3 linked regions of the Oryzias latipes genome follow. The protein of the gene in region 1 purifies or fractionates together with the protein of each later gene. This does not show direct contact. Links are inferred from orthologs where the notes say so. Each region holds a gene or a part of one and is shown in the gene's direction. Other genes may lie near its edges.

Region 1 (4,106 bases):
TCATATCCATCCATCCATCCATTTCTGTGTCACAGTGTTGTCTGTCGTAGGGCACACAATCACACACACATGCACACCTATAGGGACACTATTAGAGTAGCCAATTAACCAATGAAGCATGTTTTTAGACTGTGGGAGGGAGCTGGAGTGCCTGGAGAAAACCCACACATGCATGAGGAGAACAGGCAACTCCACAGACAAAGGTCCCAGTCGGGATTTAAACTGGGGCCTTCTCAGCACTAACCATTGTTCCACCTTGCAGCCCAGCGGCATTGTTATATTTGAACCCTGTTGAAGGGAATTTGCAGGACATGGGTGGGGGTGGTTGGGTGTGTTATGTTTTGGGGATGGCTCCCATCCTCGTCTCCTTGATTAGCTGTTTCCTCTATGTTCTTTCTTAACTCCATCTCTGCCTCTTTTTCTTCACGTTGTCTCCTTATTATTTGAAGTTTCCATTAATCTGTTTTAGTTCCTCTGTTTCTTCTTCTACCTCGCCTCACCTTTCCCTCTCCTGTCCATTGGAGAACAAGGAACAGTTTACCTTTAACTTGCATCTGGTATTTCATTTCTCACTGAGGTTATTGTAGTTAACAAGAAAAAACCAAACTAGATGTGATAAGGCACAAGAAGGAGACAGAGGCTTTGGGTAAGTAGCTCAATGACACCTGTGTTGACACCTTGATGCTACAAGACACAATCTCCAGCAGCTGCTCAGAGATCCGCCCAGCCTGCTGAAGAAAGAGGCGCACCATCAGACTGACCATAGCCACTGAGGAGAAGGACTGGAAGATACAGTTGAGGAGGAGGAGGAGCAGCATCATCAGGTGTCACTGAACTAATCCATGCGTATACCCCTGCAGGACTTGGAGAAGAAGCTGGATGTGTGCCGATCCTCATTGACGAGGCAGCTGTTGACCCAAAAGGAAAAGAGCAAGGAAGTCAGAAAAGAATCTTGCAAATAACAGGAGCAGACTGATCAGCTGAGCAGATACATCCTAAAGAGTTTCTGACTGTTTCATTCTCTGCCTTTTACTGACAGACAGATATTGGAAGTGGAGAAGTTCCACTATTGAGCTCATTTAATGAAGCCACAGAACTGTCTTCTACCTGATCAGCAGCCTGACTCGATAGGACGGATGTTAGATTTTGTTAATAAAGTTTGTTTATACTTAACTACAAATAAAGTTTATTCAAAATAAAAAAAGACGGCGCGTGCTCTCATTCTTACCATGGACAGTTACTTCCAAAGGGGGCGCTGTTGACAAACCGTGCGCTGGTGTCGATGGCGCCAGTGACCGAAGAAGAACCAAGAGAAGCGGCTACAGCAGTCAGTCACTGAAGCCGACCACAAACAGAGCTGGTCCGGTTCGTGTAAAACTCTTTCCAGTTGGATATTCAGGATTTCCTCTTCCCGGCGTTGTTCTTGTGTTCTCCTACAGCTCCGCGGCTGGATTGTGGATGAAGACCCGGGAAATGGCCGAAAACTCCGGTGGGTGTTCCGGCTGATGATGCTACTAACTAGCTGCTGCTCAGTTAGCGGCTGCTTCTGCATGATGATGATCCGTCAGTGTAGCTGAAACCCCCCCAAAAGACATTAGAGGTAGCCCGACAGCCCCGTGGCAGATCCAGGACTCCCAGGTAACCGTCCCGAAGTTGGGGTGCAGATAATACTGAGCAGACTGTGGTTAGATCAAAGTTCTTGAGGTGATCCAAGCAGGTCCTGCTGCTCATCATGGAACTATGACAGGACAGACCATAACTCAGACACAACACCACGTATGAAGGAACCCCAGCTTGGCCATGAACAGACGCGTCCCACAATAAACTGAGAGAAGGTCATTACGTCGTCATACACGTGACATTCTTTTGCTAAACTTAAGGCTACAATATCTGCCTTAAATGAGAGGGATTTTCAGAAATGGTCTTAGGAAGTTACCATGTGGGGTCTGAAGCCTCCAGAGTGAGAGGGAAGGACTGCAGAGACATGGCGCCCTTTGGGTTCTGGTTGAGCCACGCATTCCGTCCTCAGGTGGAACTCAGAGGGTTTGATGTCTCCTCTGTTGCAATTTCAGCCGAACGCAACGAGGAGAAGCATGACGGCTCGGGTGTGACGGGCATGAGCGACCAGGAGAAGGAGCTGGCCTCGAGTGCGTACGAGTGCTTCTTGGTAAGTCCGTCTCTCTTCGGATCGTCAGCAGAACAGGTTTTGGTGCATGTGGTGGAGGCTGGAGCTGGGTAATGCCACACGACGTGAAGCCTCTGTGTCTCACAGGCTGGACGGTACGAAGAGTCCATGAAGCACCTGGAAGCCCTGCTGGAGTTCAACAAAGAGGACTACAAGATCGCCATGAACAAGGCCGTCACAGAGTTCTACAGGAGCAGTCAGACCACCACGGGCACTTTGAGGCAGACGCTGATGGCCATGAAGAACCGGGTAACAGCAGCTCACCGACACCTGCACTCTAATACGTTATGAGACGTTTGATTGGCCGACTGTGTCCGCCAGCTCCACTCATCGCTGACGGAAGACGCCGATGGCCTGGACGACGTGGAGAACAGCCTGCTGTACTACAATCAAGCGGTCATCTGTTACCACTTGAAGCAGTTCTCTGAGGCCATTTCCATTGGAGAGAAGCTCTACCAGTTCTTGGAGCCGTTTGGTGAGTAGTCAGCAGGGCAGACTCCCCGCCTGCCGCTGTCTGTGGCACAGGTGCATGCTCTGCTCTGCGTCTGGACGTTCACATGGGGGTCACTGAGGTCACATTGTGAGAACACTGGGGTCCTGTTGTGTCCCAGAGAGGTCTGTTTCAGAAATGGAGAGTCCCTGCAGCCTCATTGATTATGGACCTGGAGTGTTTGACGACGCTGAAGTTGGCTTCCGATTCACAGCTTCCAATTCTCCAGGGGACTAAAGGAACATTCCACGGCATTTTTCACATGAAGGCCACGTAGAACCGGTTCCTCTTCAAACCCCACAGGGCCTGGACTGCTCAAACCTGGATTCCATTATGATTTAAATAGTAAATACATTAAACACAGATGTGGAGAAGTCTTCATGAATGTCCAATGAGGTTTAGTGCATGGACACACCATCTTTGGTCATGTGACCCTAAGGTCTGTGCTGAGCTCAGTTGACGAGTTTTCAGCTCCCTGGTAGTTGCTCTTCAACCAGATTCTACAAACTTCTAGCTTTTCCAATAATGGGAAATGTCAGATGTTGGGGGGGGCACACCCAAAGTCACCTGTCAGTCACCAGATCACGCCTCCTTTTTGATCCCAAATACCCTCAAATGGAAGCATCGTCTCCATTGTAGTGTCTGTAAATGTAATGAGAGGTCAAACCTGGATTTATGCTGGTGCTGCCTTTTCTGATGTAAACATCCCAGCTTTCTTTGTGATCTGACCAATCAGCTGATACTTTTCTTTTCAAACCAGCTTCAATGATGAAGTTAAAAGTCTTGGTTTGAGCCACATCTTCAGGCTGTCCATCTTCAGACGGCATGTTGTGCAGCAGGATCTGTTCTCAGCGCCTGTGGGTTCAGCTTTTTTCTGCAACGTTCTGTCTGAAAGCTCCTGTGATGGATCAAGTTCCCACAGTCACCGTCCTGATCCTCAGGGACGCGTCCCGCACAGTCTGACCCAACAGGAAGCCTGCTGGTGCAGACTGGACTGGGGGGGATTGCTCCATGCATGGCGTGCCTTACATCAGGTCTGCTCTCGGCTGTGTGTGTAAAGACTTTTTCATTTGTCCCAGAAGAGAAGTTTGCTCAGGCCGTCTGCTTCCTCCTGGTGGACTTGTACCTGCTGACCTTCCAGCCAGAGAAGGCGCTGCACCTGCTCGCCGTGCTGGATAAGCTGTCTGCTCAGGGCGGCAGCAGGAACGGGAAAGGAGAGGTAAGCGGCGCCGGCAGTGTGATGAAGAGACGCCTCATTTACAGGAGGAGGCTTTGTTCTACTTAGATTTGTTTAACCTTTTTCTGTCCCTTAGGTAAATGTTAAACCTTAAATCCTAATGATTTACAAGAACAAAGATGTTGAAAAGCAGAGTTATGGTATCTTTCGGAGTATAAATAGCTTTTTAGTTTGGGCAGGGGTGTGACTTATAC
Region 2 (3,647 bases), on another chromosome or scaffold:
AACTAAAGCACACAGGTGAATGGATTTCTCTCGAGCGTCTGTTCATCACGTGTGCAGATGGTAGAGGAGTAGAAGACATAAGAAATTCACCTAAAGGATAGCAAATTAAAATGAAGTTTACGCAAACGTTTATTCGCCATTTGTTGACTAACCCTCTAACGTTTACTCACCAAAGTGGAGAAAAAGCTTGCAACTGGCAAGTGTTACTTTCAGACACTTCAAAATAAAAGTAAAATTGCATTAGACTCATTCTTCTATTAAGAAAAAGTTGTATTGCAATATATGCAATTATCGTTTTATTGCCCAGTCCTAGTTTGAAGTGAAAGGACCTTCTTCCCTTTCCTCACTCTTTTCTACTAAAAAAAACTTTCCAAATAAAACTTCCTTCAGAATCAGATTAGAAAAAAAACGGGAAAATGTTGAGTTTTTTTTTTTTGTTTCGTTTCTGTGGGCTGGTACCAACTGTCGGCTGTAGCTCCTCCCCACCTGTTGTTTGTGCATCATCCTATTAGATGTGTAGTCTCTGTGCGGTTTAGATGGGCCAAGCAAATCAAAAAGCATCCAAATCTCCAATGTCTTTAGTTCTGCTGTTTCTCATGTGTGCCTGCCTGCTGTCAGATCCCTCTGCTGCAGGCGCACCCCCAGCTGAAGCAGTGTGTGAGGCAGTCAGTGGAGCGGGCGGTCCAGGAGCTGGTGCACCCTGTGGTGGATCGCTCCATCAAAATCGCCATGACGACCTGCGAGCAGATCATCAGGAAGGACTTCGCCCTGGATTCAGAAGAGTCTCGCATGCGTGTTGCCGCCCACCACATGATGAGGAACCTCACGGCAGGCATGGCCATGATCACCTGCCGTGAGCCGCTGCTCGTGAGCATCGCCACCAATCTGAAGAACAGCTTTGCTGCGGCGCTTCGGGTACGCCGAGTTCCTGCACAATCTTTTTGAAACGCAAAACTGTTTTCTCTGCTCTTTTCTTTTTTAACTCACTGAGTTTGAATTTATGGGTTCTGTTAGGCTCCAACCCCCCAGCAGAGGGAAATGATGGAGGAAGCTGCAGCCAGGGTCGCTCAGGACAACTGTGAACTGGCATGCTGCTTCATTCAGAAAACTGCTGTGGAGAAGGCTGGCCCAGAGATGGACAAAAGGCTGGCTACGGTGAGGGATTTAAAATATTCTCATTTCTTTGTTCACATTTTTATCAAAACAATTGAGCCCTATTTTAACATCTACTCTGATGTCTGTAGGAGTTTGAGCTGAGGAAACATGCTCGCCAGGAGGGACGGCGCTACTGTGATCCCGTTGTCCTGACCTACCAGGCTGAGCGGATGCCTGAACAGATCAGGCTGAAGGTGAAATCATGATGACGTCTAATTATGAATCATTAAAATAAGCCGTAGTTTAAAAGTAGTCGTCTTTTTTTCTTCTTCCCCTTAACGTTTTTATTTCTCAAAGCTGGAAAATTTCAGAGATTGTGTCTGATCAGCAGTTTTTATGAGACACGACGGGCTCGTGTGTTGCAGGTGGGAGGAGTCGACCCCAAACAGCTGGCTGTTTATGAGGAGTTTGCCAGAAACATCCCGGGTTTCCTGCCGAGCAACGATCTTTCACAGCCCACTGGCTTCCTGGCTCAACCCATGAAGGTGAGGTCATTTCCTGTGTCCGTCAAGGAAAAAAAAAAGTCCTAACCGTCATTCAGAAGCTGAAATATTGAATGTTTTTCCCTTTTCTTTCTGAAAAAAGAAACACATTTATTTTTGATATTCAGCTCTGTATTTTCTTTTGACAGACGAACCAGAAACATGTTTTTGACTCCATCCCTCTCTTGTGTTTCAGCAACAGGCATGGGCCACTGATGACGTGGCTCAGATCTATGACAAGCTAATTGCAGACATGGAGCAGCATCTTCACGCCATCCCTCCAACTCTCACCATTAACCCTCTGACTCAGGCTCTGCGCAGCCTGCTGGAGTCCGTGGCCTTGGCCAGGAACTCCAGGGATGGCATTGCTGCTCTTGGGCTGCTGCAGAAGGTGCGACTCTTGCAGCTCTGTGTCAAAACAGCTTCACAATCCAAGTCTCTCTGGCAAAAAACACCCGAGCTCCACTGACTTTAGAAATGTTTCTTCTGAAAGTCACGCATTCATATCGATTTGTTTGCTCTGCCCCTCCAGGCTGTGGAAGGACTCCTGGATGCTACAAGTGGTGCTGATGCAGATTTGCTGCTTCGCTACAGAGAGTGCCACCTGCTGGTGCTGAAAGCCCTGCAGGACGGACGAGCTTATGGACCACAGTGGTGCAATAAACAGATCACAAGGTGAGGGATTGAACTGGCTTGGTGGTGCAGTCATGTGGTTACCTTAACTGAGGAGCGATTATAGTTTTTATTTGAGGAATTCAGGGAAAAAAAGACCAGGAAGTGGGGGGCTCAGAAAGGAAAATAGGAGCAGGACTCCACATGCAGTAACTTGATTAAAGAGAACTTTAGTTCCAAAAGCAGAGCATGAACACACAGGAAAGGAAAGGAAAAGCCTCTGCAACAAGAGATAGAAGCAAACATGGAACCAGACACACAAAGAACTATCGGACTACTGTCGTTGCAGCATCTTTAGGCATAAGAATATTTATCCTCAGCCGTAACACGAAAAGAAGCAAAGAGCCAAAGGCATGATCAGAGGACGGGCCACCCAGATCCAACCCAAGTGAACAAAGCTTTATCTCTTCATCTTAATTTATTTGTGAGCTGCAGCTTCCTGTGAATTAACCCCTTTCTCGCCAGTCGCCAAATTAAAATCACTTTTATCAGACAGAATCTCAGACTTAATGACTTTGTTTTTCAGTTGTTTTTATACAAGCACTGAAAATGTAGCAGCATCAATTAACAGCTGCTCAGATGTGAATTCATCAAACCTCTATGATCAGAATAACAATGGTCCCTCATTATTTCCTAGTTCAATTATTGAGATATTGCTGTTGGACCGTTTTTTTTCTTTAGTGCAATTTGGCCTGCTTTGTTATCTTTATTTTTTAACACTGTCCTGTGTTCTGTACCTCAATTGGCTGTACAATTTACATTAAGATTAACTTTATTAATCCCCGTAGGGAAATTCAGTTGTAGCAGCGCCATAAAATAAATTCAAAATATAGAGGGAAGAAAGATGTACAAGCAGAACTCTCAAAACCCCCGTGTACATGGACAGTCATGGCTGCCAGATGAATTGTAGCATCTGATGGCAGGAATGACTTTCTGTACATAAATCTTTAATAGCGAGCAGATAGTTTTCATTCTATAATACTGAGGCTTTTTTCCTGCAAAGGTTGGAACTTTAAGAGTTTAAACAAAAATGTTCATGTGGAAAGAAAAAAAAAAGATGGAAGCATGTAAAGGGACCTTTCCCCGGACCGTCACACTGCCCTACAAGAACAAAACTAGAAAGATAAAAAAGAAAACTAGAGTTGGATTTAATCAAAAGATCTGAGTGTTCCTAAATGTAAAGGAAAAATAGGCCCACAGCTTTTCCTGCATTCATTCTAGTCTTTTTAATGGTAATGTTGGACAAAGCAGCATCCAGAGAAAAATGTAAAGTTGTAACCTGATGCGTGTTTCAGGTGTCTGATTGAATGTCGGGATGAATACAAATACAACGTGGAG
Region 3 (4,317 bases), on another chromosome or scaffold:
ATCTTTTTTTTGTATAAAGTTTCCCAAACAAGAACAAAACAAACATTTTTTTAATTATGAAAATGTTCATCTTGTGGAAATTAAAGGGGCTATCTTTAAGTAGAGATAGAGATATTCTTTATTGATCCCACATTGGGGAAATTCAATTGCTACAGCAGTTAAAAAGAAGAATGACAGCAATGTGCAAAAGACTGAAGGGGTGCTCAAAATGTGCAAAAATAGAAAAAGTAGCTACTCTTCATTCTAGAATTATGTTTTTTTCTTCCCATTCCTCAGTTTTATTGTGAATTTCTTTTTCTTCCTAATCTCTGTACCTCTCATACTCTCAATGTGAGGACTATTTAAAAATTTTGCAAGAGAGAAATGTTATTTTGTCTCCATAATTTACGTTCAGGTCTTCCTTTTAGGCACCAGCTGGTCATAAGAAAATTAAACCAACAAAATTAGGAAAAATTTGTAAAATAAAAATTTAGGATTTATTATACAAAAACAAGCATAAAAAATTCCTATAACAACCAGTCTAATGCTGAACCTTATACTGCCCAAATTCTTCGACAGGAATTCATGCACAATTTCAAATGTTTTAACGTATGTTAGCGTCCCCTGGGAAAAAGTACAGTTTATTGTATGAAGTATACTTAAATATAACTAAAGTATGTATAGCTACCATAGACCGGGAAGAGTAGAAACATTTCTTTAGACTAAATTGGAACATCCTAAGTTTGCAATAAATAGATAGTACCTTTATGAAAAGTAAACTTCAAGTATACTGCCTCACTTTTAGCATCGACTTGTAGTACACTTAAATAGATATATTTGTGCTAAAGGGTGGCATGAAGAAAAGAAGGACCTCTTCATTAAAGCTGATTGCAAATGTAAATAACTGTGGAAAACATGTTGCCTTTCTTGAGGCCCTGAACACGACCTAAATTCATTTTAACGTCAGAAAAGCGGAGGACATAAATACTACTCTTGTCTATGTTTAGCTTTTTTTAATATTGAAAACATTTCCTAAATGCTGAGGAAATGCCAAGACTAGTCCAGCCTTTTGTCACAAGTTTATCTACATTGAAGTCTGACTGCAAATTTAAGTCAACTCCTAAGTTTTACAACTCATAATGACAGTTGGACTGTCACAAAATGTACTTTTAAAACAACTAATGGAGACACCAATCATATGCATTTAATTGCACACTCCCACAAATAAAACACAGGAAGATTTGGCAGTGATGTCCTGGAGGTCAAAATAAAGGGAACACATTAAAAACGGTTGCAGTCCCAAAGCTCAAACAGACAAACTGCCAGCATAACTTCCTAATTATCTATTTACAAGAGCAATGCTTTTAACTTCTTCCTATAGACCGATGCTATACTGTCTTTGCAGCAAAGTGTCTTCCGCCCTCTCCGGCTGCATACTTACACCTCCACTCCTCTCTTTCCATACTTGGCAATACCTCTTTTGCTCTGCTGCTATTGGCTGCTGCTGAGACAGCCCGGAGTGACCCGGATGTGCAAAGCGAGGCCTGTTTTCTCGCCGTGGCCTCCTTCCTGTAGCCCGGTTGAGGAAGTAAATTTCGCTGACAGGGCTGGGTTCACTGAGGGAGAGGCGAAGAAAACATCTTCCGCAGGGGACTAAAATACAAATAAAAACCACAAAAAGCGAAAAGGACGAGTTGGTAAATTAAAAGCGAACCTAGCGCGTACCGGCATCTGTGGATCGTGCCCCCCTGCCCCGCTGAGACCGCCGCAGACATGGTGAGTAAGGGCCGCGGCGGAGCTGGTGGGAGAGACGGGGAAGGGTTTTGGAGGGGCTGCGGCTAACTATACGCCTTCAGGTGCTACGACAAGCGAGCAGTGGTAACATGAGAGGAATAAAAATAAAAATCACAGAGGCATCCAACCGTAATGAGGAGAGTAAATAAACTAGGACCGCTGTTCATGGACGGTTTGCCCGTCTCTTCTAGCATGTTTAGGTGTTAGCTAACTGTTACTCGGGCTACCTGCTAGGCTAGGCTTAAAGTTAGCACAGGATGTTTTGGATTTGACACAAGTTTGCTAGCAGCAGTATCCAAGACCCCAAATATAGCAGACATTGAAACTGGTTGATCTAGGAGGCGGCTGTCGCTAAAATAAGACTCGCTGCTCGTATTCCTGACCGTGACGGGCTGACCGACTGCCTCTGCTGCTGCTGCTGCTGCTGCTGGGTTTCCTGCTTGGGGAGTCATGACTTCCTAAAGGAAAGAAGACATTTACCCCAACAAGAAATGCCACAAATCAATGTTGACGTTTGAGTTAAACTAATGTTATTGTTCTCATTTAGGTCAGAAGAGCCAGACATCACTGCCAAACTACCAACAGTTATTTAAAAGATGAATAAAATGCAGCATTAGATGTTCAATTCTACTCAAATATTCATACATTTTTTCTAGATTACCTTCTAAAACCAAATTTGTTTAGACAGTTTTCACTTAAGAGCTTCAAACTGATTTTAGGGAAGATTTTTAAAAAGAAAATTGAATTTGTTCATCAAAATCTACCAGAAAGCTTTTGTCTGAACAAATAAAAGCACATCAGTCCATAGTGAGGATGGAAAGGTGCAGCATAATCAATAGAGGCCAGCCGCCACTTTAAACACTTTAGGTTGTTTTGTAAAAAAAAAAAAAAAAATACAAATGTTCAAAGCATTTGAACTATAATTCATTTATTATAAACATAAGACAAATGTTGTGAATGTCAAAGAATTTGATTAGTTTTACGCCAAAATAAGAATTTGTTCGCATCATGAGTTTCATGTTTCAATACAGGCTAATGATTTTCATTTGGTATTTCTAATAAAATCTAAATAATTATAACACAACTGGGTGAACATTTGTTTGTGTCCTGATATTGTTTGAACTTCCTGAAACCTTTCGAAAGAACAAAAACTAAGGACTTTTCTATCGTCTGTTAGTCCCATAAAGACCTGATAAACAAAAGGTTTGTTGTTACGTTTTAGTTTGAAAGGTTGTCTCACAAAACTGAGTTTGACATGACAAACTGTTCATTCTTATCCGTTGTAATGTCTCCAAACATTTAGCCTCTGCAGGTGTTTTAGACAACTTTCTGTCTTCCCAGCCATTTCTGTCCACTTTGTTTCTAAATTGCGCAGAACCAAAACATAAACCTACCATAATCAAAGTTATTTGACTGTTTAGAATATATTACAGAAGTCTGACTTGAAAGCCGGTTTTTGCTTGGTGACTGTTGGACTTTTCAAATGTCACATGAATCTTTAGTAACTTCCTAACAGTTTTCTGTTTCTGGAGCCGTGGATGTTTCTCTAATATTCATAGTTTGTATGAGGAAGCAGACAGTGACGCAGAAACAATAACTCAGGTGGAGATTAACGATAGAGGAAACCCAGAGTCCAGCTTTGAAGACATATTTGTTTTTGACTTTTTGAAATTTGGTTTTTGTTCAGGTTTTGAGCTCCCATCTCTGTCCTGCGTGGCTGAAAGCAGGAGCAGCAGATGTTGTTTCTCTGGAGTCGCCTTTTCTCTGAGCCTCGGTCATAATCCTGACCGTCCTGCCTTGCTAGTCTCCCATGACCCCGGGGCCTGTTGGCTTGAGCTAGTATTTACACAGAAACGTGCGAGGAACGGAGGTGACTGATGATGCAGATTAAGATCAGCTAAAAGAGGCTTAAAGATGGAGCCAAACAAGTGACTCAGAGGTGGAGAAATTGCTCCCCGGAGACGTTTTTTTCAGACTCTTAAGGAATGATTTATGGAGGGAAAGATTTTCTGCACTCAAACAGGTCGTCGTCGTTCGATCTGATAGCTGATGCAGCACAACATTTGTACAGTTTGTACACATTTGATCCTTTTTAACTCTGGGCAGAAGAATATTCAACAAAAGAAATGAGTAGAAATAGATGTAAAAGACAAACGGTGGAACTAAGAAACCGTTTTTTGTGACACGTTTCTAAATTATTTGTAATAAGATGGGTTATAAAACCTTTTCTAGTTGTCATTTGTCACAGTTAAAACACATTTAGCGTTTCAGTTTTTAGCATCAATCTGATCTGCTGTATCAACACAGACTAGCCTGTGAGGAATGTTTATGTGCAGAGAACTGCATCCACATGTGAGTTATTTATGTCGCCTCATGGCCTCTTCAGTTCACTTAAGTTAAAGTTTTTTTTCCAATTTGAAGAAATACACCTTTTGTGATCTAAACACTGTGTTTAAAAAAAAAAACTGTGGTTAAGTCAGTGTATGTTTACAAAAAATGTTCACATGACAAGTCAGGAGGTCTGCCTGTTCCCACACGGCGTTG

What was found.
Region 2: the proteins of cnot10 (region 1) and cnot1 purify together in Homo sapiens (affinity purification with mass spectrometry; 4 studies listed by BioGRID and IntAct, with this or other methods). This does not show direct contact. The link is inferred for Oryzias latipes from reciprocal best matches to the Homo sapiens genes CNOT10 and CNOT1.
Region 3: the proteins of cnot10 (region 1) and capzb purify together in Homo sapiens (co-immunoprecipitation; 3 studies listed by BioGRID and IntAct, with this or other methods). This does not show direct contact. The link is inferred for Oryzias latipes from reciprocal best matches to the Homo sapiens genes CNOT10 and CAPZB.

Annotation. Positions count from the first base shown.
Region 1 is NC_019874.2:7,745,797-7,749,902, forward strand, and holds the start of cnot10 (CCR4-NOT transcription complex subunit 10), read left to right. Parts: upstream 1-1,262; 5' UTR 1,263-1,458; coding exon 1,459-1,489; intron 1,490-2,072; coding exon 2,073-2,167; intron 2,168-2,272; coding exon 2,273-2,434; intron 2,435-2,506; coding exon 2,507-2,660; intron 2,661-3,754; coding exon 3,755-3,894; intron 3,895-4,106. UniProt on the Homo sapiens protein: Component of the CCR4-NOT complex which is one of the major cellular mRNA deadenylases and is linked to various cellular processes including bulk mRNA degradation, miRNA-mediated repression, translational repression during translational initiation and general transcription regulation.
Region 2 is NC_019864.2:25,882,213-25,885,859, reverse strand, and holds part of cnot1 (CCR4-NOT transcription complex subunit 1), read left to right. Parts: intron 1-618; coding exon 619-915; intron 916-1,014; coding exon 1,015-1,155; intron 1,156-1,244; coding exon 1,245-1,349; intron 1,350-1,520; coding exon 1,521-1,640; intron 1,641-1,833; coding exon 1,834-2,028; intron 2,029-2,169; coding exon 2,170-2,312; intron 2,313-3,604; coding exon 3,605-3,647.
Region 3 is NC_019863.2:2,090,603-2,094,919, forward strand, and holds the start of capzb (F-actin-capping protein subunit beta), read left to right. Parts: upstream 1-1,451; 5' UTR 1,452-1,752; coding exon 1,753-1,755; intron 1,756-4,317. UniProt on the Homo sapiens protein: F-actin-capping proteins bind in a Ca(2+)-independent manner to the fast growing ends of actin filaments (barbed end) thereby blocking the exchange of subunits at these ends.